Linked DNA regions of Mus musculus. The protein of the gene in region 2 binds, or shares a complex with, the protein of the main gene of each other region. Links are inferred from orthologs where the notes say so. Each region holds a gene or a part of one and is shown on either strand. Other genes may lie near its edges.

Region 1 (4,144 bases), on a different chromosome or scaffold from region 2:
TAGATGGTGGGCTCAGTGTACTTGGCAAAAACTTGTCTTTCCCAGTTGGGATCAGCCTAAGTTCTCAGGCAGGAACTGGTGATGATCTGTAGATGAGCTGTCAGACGCACATCAGGACAGAATGGAGGCATCTGGACTTCCAAGGACAGACCTTGCCAGTCTTGGTGGCACACGCCTTTAATCCCAACACTGAGAGGCAGAGGCAGGCCATTCTCTGCGCTGTTGAGACCTGGTCTCTATACCAAATTTCAAGTCAGCACACTCCCCCAAAGAAAAGGAGAGGGCTGGTGAGATGGCTCAGTGGGTAAGAGCACCCGACTGCTTTTCTGAAGGTCCGAAGTTCAAATCCCAGCAACCACATGGTGGCTCATAACCACCCATAATGAGATCTGACTCCCTCTTCTGGAGTGTCTGAAGACAGCTACAGTGTACTTTCATGTAATAAATAAATAAATAAATAAATAAACAAATAAGAAAGAAAGAAAAGGAGAAAGGGGCGTTCCTGTGAACTCCCATTGTATAGTTGGAAGGGTTTAGCCCTGGAATCCCTTTCCCTAGGATTCATTTTCTCACCACCTTCTCAAACTTTTCACGAGTTAGCCCACCATATACACACTTGTTTGTTCATTGTGTGTATGCCCGCACATCGATTGTTTTCATTTTAGATTTTTAGTCGTTTAACTATGTTTATCTGTGTGTCTGCATGTGGGTATAGACCTGTAAGTGTGGCCCTTGGAGGCCAGAGGCATCAGACTCTCTGGAGCTGGAGTTACAAATGGCTGGGGGCCACCTCATGTGGGTGCTTGCATCCGATTTCTCATGTAAAGTGCAGATACACTAATAAAAACTTGTATAAAAAGGGAAATTGAGGCACATGAACCTGGCTGTTCATCACTGGTCTCTTGCTTTCTTTCGAGACAGGGTTTTCTCTGTAGACCTGGCTATAGAGCAGGCTGGCCTCGAACTCACAGATCTGCTTGCCGAGGACGGGGATTAAAGGCGTGGACTACAGCCCGGGAGACGCCTAAGGGAGGGAAATAAAACTGTTATCAGGTCAAGTATCGCGAGATCTTCCCGACGCGCGACACCGCCCCGGTGAAGGCTGGGGCTGCCCAACGCGCAGCCTGTCGTGGAAAGTAGGTTTATTCCGGCGTTCACCTTAGACAGCACGAACCTGGGCGGGGGCCTTCCCAGCCCTTGGCGCAGGCGCACTGCCGGGGGGCGGGGGGCATTTTGTGCGTCCGGCGCAGGCTCCGTGCTGGCAGCTCCACGAGCGCGCGTGCACAGTTGTTTGGGAAGCGCGACAGCATGGACGACGAGGAGGAGACCTACCGGCTGTGGAAGATCCGCAAGACGATCATGCAGGTGATCAAGCGTGAGGAGCTTTATGCGAGCGAGCGTTCAGTTGCGGACTAACTGCGGGTTGTCCGCCGAGGCCCGCCTCCCGCAGGGGCCAATCCTCCTGGATTGGAATGCATCCCCGTTTAAAGTGTGGAGCCCACCCACGCTGGCTTCAACTCTTAGAAATCCTACTGCTTCCACCTCCTAACTCTGCCTCAGGGGAAAAGGCCTGGGTGGGCTCCGTTTCGGGAGAGGGGGCTGCTGCGTGGTCACACTTGGTTTTATGCGAGCTAGGTAGCCGCCCACACGAAAGCTATCAACCATCTGTAACCCCAGTTCCAGGGGATCTGACGCCCTGTCCTGATCTCTGGGGACTCCAGACACACATAGGATGAAAAAACAGTATTTTTAAAAACAGAACAAGCCGGTATGATGGTACACGCCTTTAATCCCAGCACTCTGGAGGCAGAAGCAAGCGAATCTCTTTAAATTAGAAGTCAGCCTCATCTACATAGTGATTTCCAGAATAGACAAAGTCACGCAGAGAAACCCTGTCTTGAAAAAGAAAAAGGGAATAAAAGAAAAAATTCTTGGTTGTTTTGAGTTGAACACATGAGACACCATTATTAGATAAAGAGGTATGCATAGTTTTGACTTATGCTGTGTTGGTGGAGCCCAGGGCCACCTCATGCCTGTTCCTCAGCCCTGATCCTGGATGATGCTCTAGTCTCCCTCATCAGGAACACTCAAGACTGGGGACAGGAAGGTGCCTGTATTCAGAAGGTTGCCTACAGTTGCCAGGGGATTAATCCCAGCCTGCTCCACTGAGGTTGGGGGGAGGAGAGGCTTGGCCGGGCCGCTGTGGTCTGAGCCTATACAGAGTTTGGGTACTGCTGGATCAGTTCAGTGTTAGTCCCCAGCCTCGGCCATTCAGGGTCAGGTCTGCGAGCTAAGTGCTCAGGCTGACTGCCTCTTTGCCTCTTGTCTCTGCAGCTGTGTCATGACCGTGGCTACCTGGTGACCCAGGATGAACTGGACCAGACACTTGAGGAATTCAAGGCGCAGTTTGGGGACAAGCCCAGCGAAGGACGGCCAAGGCGCACAGACCTCACGGTGCTGGTGGCCCACAACGATGACCCCACAGACCAGATGTTTGTGTTCTTCCCAGGTGAGGCCCTTGGGCTGGCAGGAGTGGTCTCCTCCAGGCCCTGGCTCAGGTGCCAGTGAATGCATGTCCCACTCTGGCCTAACGCTGCCTGTAAGATTGTGGCAGCTGCCTGCTTTTGTCCCTGTCTCCCCTGGGAAGCCTCCCTTTTGCTGGTGTCGTTTTCATCCCATAAGCCCCAGAACCAGCTCTCAGCCCTCCACCCCCTGGCTCCTATATGCTGTATTCTATAGCTTCTGCCTGGGAGTCCCAGGGCCAGCTATGCCACCCCCACACCCCCTGTGTGCTGTATTCTACAGCTTCTGCCAGCAGCGCAGGTGTCTTGTGGGAGTGAAGGCTATTGGGGAGCCCAGGACCTCCCTGTGCAGCTACATTCAGTCTCCCCAGACAGCTTGCCTCTTTTAATACCTAATGCTTTGTGGCCCCGGGACCTGGTTTTTAGTGTGAGAATTGGGGGGTGCGGGGATGGGCATGGTAGCATATGCCTGTAAGCCCAGTGTTTGAGAGGCAGAGGCAGGCAGTCGAGGCCAGCCTGGTCTATACAATGACTTCCGGGACAACTATGGAGGGCATTGGTTCTCAGCCTTCCTGATGCTGGGACCCCTTAGTACACTTCACATTGTGACCTCCAACCATAAAATCTTCATTGCTAATTCATAACTAATTTTGCTACTATTATGAGTCATAATGTAAATATACCTGTGTTTATCCAGCAATTTGCAAACTAGGTGGCCTGGGTCTGCTCCTGCGCTCTGCCTGAGGAGACAAGGCTAGCCTCATGTAGACACAGGGTCCATCTCTTGGTCAGTCAGTTTCTCCTTGAGGCTGTCTAAGCTGACAGTACCATATCCCCCAAACCCCAGAGCTGCTGAGAGCCCCCACCCCCGTTCCAGGGGGGCCGCAGTTCCTGCATACCCTGCAGCTTCTGCAGTGATAGCTGAGCCCCCTGGCAGCCCCATCATGGCTGCCTTGATGTTCTAGTCTTCCCTTGCAAGCAGAGAAACTAAGACCACAGGCTCCAGTAGTGAGTGTGAGGGTGGTGCTTGTGTGCCCGCAGAGGAGCCCAAGGTGGGCATCAAGACCATCAAGGTATACTGCCAGCGCATGCAGGAGGAAAACATCACACGGGCGCTGATTGTGGTGCAGCAGGGCATGACGCCCTCCGCCAAGCAGTCCCTGGTGGACATGGCCCCGAAGTATGTGCTGGAACAGTTTCTACAGCAGGAGCTGCTCATCAATATCACAGAGCACGAGGTGTGTGTGGTGGGGTGGGGCGTAGTGCTGCCTGCATCCAGGACACGGGCCGGGGCGGGGTGCTTCCCCGGTTTTGGCCCTGAGCATCCAACTTGGTGATATTAATAGCCTGGTTTTGTCCTCTGTCCCAGCCCCATGACAATACCCATTAGTCTGTTGGTCTGTTGAAGTTCCTGATGGCCGCGTGCCTGTGGGTGGGTCTCTGTCTCCACAGCTAGTCCCTGAGCACGTGGTCATGACAAAGGAGGAGGTGACTGAACTGCTGGCTCGATAGTATCCTTTACTCTGTCCCCACACCCCCCTCACCCCAGCGCTGCCCGCCAGCTGCTTCCTTGACTGTTCTAGCAAGCTTCGTGAGAGCCAGCTACCCAGAATCCAGGCCGG
Region 2 (3,648 bases):
GCAGGTATGTGCACCATGTGTGGGCCTAGTGCACTCAGAGGTCAGAAAAGGGAGTCATATCCCTGTGAAGTGGAGTTAGACAGTGCTGTGAGTCACCATGTGGGTGCTGGGAACAAACCCAACTGCTAAGCCATTTATCCTTCCAGCTCCACAAAATTCAAATTTTAACTGGACCACTAAAGCCCCATGTATACAGAATAAAGACTTTAAAAATAACTCCACTTTCTTCCCTCCCCTTTCTTTCTCCCTTTTTTCTTTCCTTCCTCTTCTCTTCTCCCCTCCCCCTCCCCTCCTCTCCCCTCCTCTTCTTTCTCTCTCTCTCTCTCTCTCTCTCTCTCTCTCTCTCTCTCTCTCTCTCTCTCAAGTTTAAAACCATGAAGAGCAGACTAGAAAGATGACTCAAGTTAAAAGCCCTTGCTACTCTTCCAAAGGACCCAAGTTCAGTTCCCAGCAGGCAGTGTGAGCTTTAGCTCCAGGGGATCCAACACCCTCTCCTTTCCTTGACATGGGCAGCTACCCAAAGATACACGCATAAAAACAAGTGTATCTTAAAATCATAAGAAGCGCCGGGCATGGTGGCACATGCCTTTAATCTCAGCACTCGGGAGGCAGAGGCAGGCGGATATTCTGAGTTCCAGGACAGCCTGGTCTACAGAGTGAGTTCCAGGACAGCCAGGGCTGCACAGAGAAAGCCTGTCTCGAAAAACAAAAAAAACCAAAAAAAAAAGCATAAGAAGCTGGGCATGGTAGCCACCTTTCATGGTAACCCCCACTTTCAGGGGTAAAGGCACACAGATCTCTCAGTTCCAGGACAACCAGGGCTACATACATAGTAAGACCCTGTCTCAGGAAAATAAAAAACCACAACATTACTAATTCAAATTATAGTTATGATACAGGAGGAAAAGAAACATTACCTTGACAGCTTTCTGGGAATTAGGCAGTCCCTCTTCTATGTCTTCTAAGAGAATTCCTCCTAGTCCCCGCTGGTCATGATTGTCTAAAAGCCTAAGCAGGGCCTTCTTATCTTTCAAGTTGTACTTAGGTTTGAAGGCATATTTCCCATCCACTACTTCAATTTTAGGATTGTTGACTAAAGCCTGTAAAAATAACACAATTTGGATATATTTATAAAAAGCAAACCCCATGTGTATGTTCTTAAATTCTAGCATCACCCAACACAGTGGCATCCTGAAGAATCATATGAACATAAACTAGCAGACCTAAAACACCAGATATCTAGGATCCCAGACCAAGTGAGTCAGCATAAAGTTTGCTTCTTACTTAAAAGCAAATGAAAATTTCATACATTATTTGCATACATTCTTTAGAGAGAAACTCGTTTTATCATAGCTACTTTGAAGAACATTTACTCTTTTAGAAGACAAAGTAAGGCTGGAGAGACGGCTCAGCAGGTAAGAGCACTGACTGCTCTTCCAGAGGTCCTAAGTTCAAATCCTATAATCTCAGCAGTTAGGAAGCTGAGGCAGGAGACTACTGCCAAGTGTGAGCCAGCCTATATTACAGAGTAAGATTTCAGCTAGAAGTAGTGGCATAAAACTTTGACCCCAGAACCTGGGAAGCAAATGGATCTCAGTGAGTCTGAGGCCAGCCTGGTCTACACAGTGAGTTCTAGGCCAGCCTGGTCTACACAGTGAGTTCTAGGGCAGTCAGAGCTACACAGTGAGACCCTGTTTCAATCAATCAATCAATCAATAAACAAACAAACAAAAAAATCACACCCACATAAAAAGAATAAAACAAAAACAACAGTCTTAGGCAGGTTCTGCTTCTAGTCACTGGTGAGTAAGTGACAGCAGACATGACCTTCTGTGACTTGGACTAAGTCAAATCACTTCACAGTATGAAAATCAAGAAGTACATCTGACTTGATAAAATAAATTAATTGAATTAGGCCAGTCATGGTGGCACACATCTATTTTTTTTAAGGATTTATGTATTTTTGTAAATGAGTTCATATATATACATATTTCATATATATATGAGTATGCTATCTTCATGTTCACCAGAAGAGGGCATCAGATCCTATTACAGATGGTTGTGAACCACCATATGGTTGCTGGGAATTGAACTCAGGACCTCTGGAAAAAGCAGCCAGTGCTCTGAGTCATCTCTCTACTCCAGCACATGTCTTTAATCCCTGCATTTGAGAGACAGAGATAGGAGGATCTTTGTGAGAGAAAATCTGCCTCAAATAAATAAATAAATAAATGATTACATCTGGTTGTTTAGGGGGTATTCCTTTTGTGTTGTTTGCTTTACTGTAGCCCAGACTGGCTTTGAACTCACTATGATTAATGATGCCGTGGTCCTTCTGCTTTTATATCCCAAGTGCTGGGATTACAGACATGTACAACTACATCCCAGCTCACATTGGGTCCGCAGATACATCACTGATCTTGAAAAGTAGTATTCGTTAACACCAATAAACTTTAAAGAAGGTCTAGAGAGATGGCTCAGCAGTTAAGAGCACTGACTGCTCTTCCGAAGGTCCTAAGTTCAAATCCCAGCAACCACATGGTGGCTCACAACCATATGTAATGAGATCTGACGCCCTCTTCTGGTGTGTCTGAAGACAGCTACAATGTACTCACATATAATAATAAAATAAATCCTTAAAAAAAATAAATAAAATAAACTTTAAAGAAGCAAATACTAAAATAGCTGTCATTCATTCACTTGCAAACTGGCATGGTCAGAGACTGTTTTAGGCGTTCTTCAAATGGTATGTATTTATTTAAACATTAACAATCATATTATTTCTCTAAGTAACTAGAAAAAATAACTCATTTATCAAACCACAGAATGCTAATAATGTAATAAAATGGTTTACTGTCCCATCTTAGGCTTTAAATTTTCTAAAGCATATATGCAATATATAACTTGTGAGTATATAAGATTATGAGTTTGACAATTCAAAATACTATTTATGACAATGAAAAATTGGTACACAGACTTCACAATTCTACTGTAGTCTTAGAGGACCTTTTAAAACATAAATAAAATTATATGGAAACCAACAGCCAAACAAATTATAAAAATGTGTACATTTAAATTCAACCAAGACTATACATCAAGTCTCTTAAGAAAAAGTAAAAAATATTAACAAATTACAGGATTAAAAAAAAAACCCACTCTGAGCCAGGCACATTGACTCATGAAGCTAAAGCACAGAGTGCACTGAGCCTGAAGTCAACATGGATGACAATATGAGACCTTGCCTCCCACCCACCTTTCTCCTCGCCTCTCTCCCCGTCTGACACACACACATGTGCAGACACCCACCCCATCCCAAAATAGTAAAACACGTCTACAGTTGAAGATGACTTGACAGTGGACCGTTCTAGCACATGCTGGGCTGGGTTCCATCTCCAGCACCACACTCACCACAAAAAAAGAACTCTGTAGCAGACACACCTTTCTGTAATGAAGTAATGTTTACATTAGTGTTAAGACTGCTCTTACCGGGCTGGTGAGATGGCTCAGTGGGTAAGAGCACCCGACTGCTCTTCCGAAGGTCAGGAGTTCAAATCCCAGCAACCACATGGTGGCACACAACCATCCGTAACGAGATCTGACGCCCTCTTCTGGAGTGTCTGAAGACAGCTACAGTGTACTTACATATAA
Region 3 (3,648 bases), on a different chromosome or scaffold from region 2:
GCTCAGAATCAAATCTGAGTCCTCTAGAAGAACAACTAGTCTCTTAACCACTGAGCCACCTCTCCAGGCCCTGACATTTTATTATTATGTGTGCACACATTAAGTGCCTGGCTGTGTGTACAGCAGTCAGAAGACAAGTTTCAGGATAGGTTCACTGCTTCCAAGTGGGCTCTGGGCATCATCAGGCATTTGAACTGAGTGCCTTTATAAACTGAACCTTTTTAATGGCTCTAAAATGTATTTTAAATCTAAAGTCATGAAGCACATGTTTGAAAGACAAAGCTGCATTAATTTTGTTTTCTGAGTGCTGACATAAACTCCATCAGCAGAGTGGATTCAAACTTAAATCATGTTCCTCCGCACTAATAGCACGCTAATGAGGCAGGGTAAGTGTAAAGACCAGGAGAATGTGTACATACCACAGGCTGCTTTGTGATGTCCACCAAGTCCTTGAGATTATAGTACTGATGCTTCTCAAAGGCAGAGAACAGCATGTCTAGGACGTGTTGTTTGTCTGCCCGAGCTCGCTTTCCATCCTCTTTCTTCTTCCTTTCATATTCAATCTATAGGCAAAAACAAAGAAAGATATCAATTCATTATTTGGAAAGAAATCATTTGGAAACAGGTCTCAGTCACCTGAAAACCACTTTTAAAGTTTCACGCCGCCAGCCTCGGGCAGGGACTTAGAACTGGAAACTCTGGTCGCTGCAGGACTCGAAGTACCTTCAGACGTTAGGACAGTTGCAACACTGGTCAACTGTAACACTTTCATCTCTTATGAAGCTTTACGTAACACATTCATTTCTCCCCAAGGAGGATTTCTTCCTGCTGCTTGGCTTGCCCAGAAACTAACGAGCACTTCCTTTGTTTTTGACTAATCAAGATACAGTAAGACATTTTTATGAAGTAAGCTGCACTTGCTAGGTGACAGCTCTAGGAGCTTTTGGGCACAGGTTTGCCCCAGCACAGGTTCTTTAGCCACCGAGAGTGTGGGACGCGCTGGTTAAGAGTGGTGATGGCGCGCCAGCCTCCTCCCTTTTGCCCCTGCTCTGCTTTACATCTGCACTCAAGCAGGTATGGCGGCAACAAGAAAGGCAGATACACTCAGCGCTGACGCCAATTATTTTTTTTTAAATCTTCATTTTGTCTCACATCACCTCAGATGTCCTTGAAGTTTGCATGTATAATATTCTCTAATTTTTAATATAAAAAGTAAAGTACCTCTTATACACATAAAATCAAGACACCAGGATCATCATCACAGAGTTACCCATCTTCACACACATCAGCATGGGAAACAACTCTCGGCTCTCACAAGAAAAGCTTCTCTTTGAGGCAGATGGAGAACATTATAGAAAGCTACAAATGGCCAAAGAACAGAGAGACCAGAGACCAACTGACCCTGGGGCGTCCACCAGCAACAGATACATTCACAACACAACCCAGGGAGCACGGCAGAAGACGGAGTGGAAAGACTGTTAAAAGCCACAGGATCAGGACATCCGATGTGAGATAGACTCTTCTGAATGTGACAGAGAAGCTGCACCCATCAAAGTGCAACACTATAGTTGCCTCAAAAGACCTGAATAATACCAGTTGACCTGCAACTCAGGGGGAAATCTCAGAAAGTCCTGCCTCTAAATCAAGAGCCCCAGCAACTGATGCTTGTGGAGAAAAGGAGCATACACCTTCCCCAGGGATGAACCCTAGTTGGTTATCTAGTAGCAAGTGACCAGGGTATACATATGAGCAGCATCAAATGGACCCAGCAGCTGGTATGGATGTATACTTACACACACATGCTAGTTTTGTGTCAACTGACGTTAAGGTAGAATTATCTGAAAGGGAACTTAATTGAGAAAATGTCTCCATAAGATTTGGCTATAATGAATTTTCTTAATTAGTGATTGATGGGAGAGGACCCAGCCCACAGTGGGTGGGGGCATTCCTGGGCTGGTGGCCCTGAGTTCTATAAGGAAGCAGGCTGAACAAGCCAGTATGCAGCACCCCTCCTTGGCTTCTATATCAGCTCCTGCCTCTAGGATCCTGCCCTGTTTGAGTTCCTTTAATAATGAACACTAATACAGAAGTATAAACCAAATAAAACCCCAAGTTGCTTTGGTTATGGTGTTCATCACAGAAATAGTGACCCTAGCTAAGACAACATGTGGTAGTAACCACAACAACAATCAAAAGAGGAAAGAAACCTAGAGATAATACCTGAAAGTAGGAGAGCCTGAAGATAGATGAGGGGAGCAGGGGAGCAGGGTATGTAACAGGGGCTTGAAATGATCAATTGTATCGACATGGATGAAATGTAATGAAACCTAGTATTTTGTACAGTTAATGAATATCAATAAAATTTGAAAATTAGTCAATTCCATTATTACCCTGGTACTAATCATTTGTAGAAATTTACTTTGCACTGAAAATTGGGAACAGTTCAGTTAGCAAATGCACGAGAGCCTGAGTTCCACCCCCAGAATGCAGGTCAAAGGCTAGACATAGTGGTAAGCGCTCGGAATCCCAGGGCTAGGCAGGCAGACACCTGAGCTTCTGAAGAGGTCCATGCCAATGAGAAACCTACTCTCAAGGTAAAAAAAAGTACTTTAGGGTTCTGTGGCCTCCACAAATATGTGCTTGCATGTGTGCGCACATACACACAACATATTTCAGTTGGTTCAGTTTGTTTGTTTGTTTATTGGAAAGGCAGAGTGGTTTCCTGGAGGAAGGTCGGTCTCAAAGCTCCCTGGGAAATTAAGCCTTGGTGGCCTGGACCAGGCCAGCAGAGAGCAAGGCTTGCACACGGGGATGACTGCAGTGTGAGGAGCAGCTTCACACCTGCACATGAGCTATGGTGTAAGCACTTAAGCTCCTTATGTTCTCTGAACTTCTTAGGACAAGCTCACGACGGAGACAAAAACCTCAACTGCATGCCAGGTACTTTGGGGCAGAGACAAGATCAAAAGTTCAAGGCTGTGTGGGCTACAGAGTGAATCTAGGGCCAGCCTGGGCAGCTTGGCAAAACTATTTCAAGTTAGAAAAATCCCAAAAGGGCTGGGGATAGAGGTCAGTGGTAGAATACTTGGCTCAGTGGTAAAAGAAAGAAAAATAAAAAAGCATGCAAAAATGAGGGAAGAGTGTCTTTAAAACCACATAAAAGGAAACCACGCGCGCAGTCTGAATCTTAGAAGGATACACGCTTTCTCTGGGTCTCTTAGAAGGATACACGCTTTCTCTGGGTCTCTTAGAAGGATACACGCTTTCTCTGGGTCTCTTAGAAGGATACACGCTTTCTCTGGGTCTCTTAGAAGGATACACGCTTTCTCTGGGTCTCTTAGAAGGATACACGCTTTCTCTGGGTCTCTTAGAAGGATACACGCTTTCTCTGGGTCTCTTAGAAGGATACACGCTTTCTCTGGGTCTCTTAGAAGGATACATGCTTTCTCTGGGTCTCTTAGAAGGATACATGCTTTCTCTGGTCCAAAAGACAGAACTACGACAGTAAGTGCACTGGGGAGAAAGAACGCACAAGGGACCAGGATCGGACCTAGAGTCCAAGCATTATAACATGCCCCCATCCCAGCTTTAGTTTATGCTGGAGAAGCTGAGCGCAGGAAGGGAAGGAGATGCTAATCAGTGGAAAAA

Evidence for each region.
Region 1: Gtf2e2 (region 2) and Polr2e share a complex: the UniProt entries of both Homo sapiens proteins name them as parts of the TBP-based Pol II pre-initiation complex. The link is inferred for Mus musculus from reciprocal best matches to the Homo sapiens genes GTF2E2 and POLR2E.
Region 3: Gtf2e2 (region 2) and Gtf2f2 share a complex: the UniProt entries of both Homo sapiens proteins name them as parts of the TBP-based Pol II pre-initiation complex. The link is inferred for Mus musculus from reciprocal best matches to the Homo sapiens genes GTF2E2 and GTF2F2.

The regions. Positions count from the first base shown.
Region 1 is NC_000076.6:80,036,804-80,040,947, reverse strand, and holds the start of Polr2e (DNA-directed RNA polymerases I, II, and III subunit RPABC1), read left to right. Parts: upstream 1-1,288; 5' UTR 1,289-1,308; coding exon 1,309-1,365; intron 1,366-2,334; coding exon 2,335-2,509; intron 2,510-3,563; coding exon 3,564-3,760; intron 3,761-3,974; coding exon 3,975-4,033; intron 4,034-4,105; coding exon 4,106-4,144. UniProt on the Homo sapiens protein: DNA-dependent RNA polymerase catalyzes the transcription of DNA into RNA using the four ribonucleoside triphosphates as substrates.
Region 2 is NC_000074.6:33,756,008-33,759,655, reverse strand, and holds part of Gtf2e2 (general transcription factor IIE subunit 2), read right to left. Parts: intron 1,101-3,648; coding exon 918-1,100; intron 1-917. UniProt on the Homo sapiens protein: Recruits TFIIH to the initiation complex and stimulates the RNA polymerase II C-terminal domain kinase and DNA-dependent ATPase activities of TFIIH. Both TFIIH and TFIIE are required for promoter clearance by RNA polymerase.
Region 3 is NC_000080.6:75,906,364-75,910,011, forward strand, and holds part of Gtf2f2 (general transcription factor IIF subunit 2), read right to left. Parts: intron 564-3,648; coding exon 420-563; intron 1-419. UniProt on the Homo sapiens protein: TFIIF is a general transcription initiation factor that binds to RNA polymerase II and helps to recruit it to the initiation complex in collaboration with TFIIB.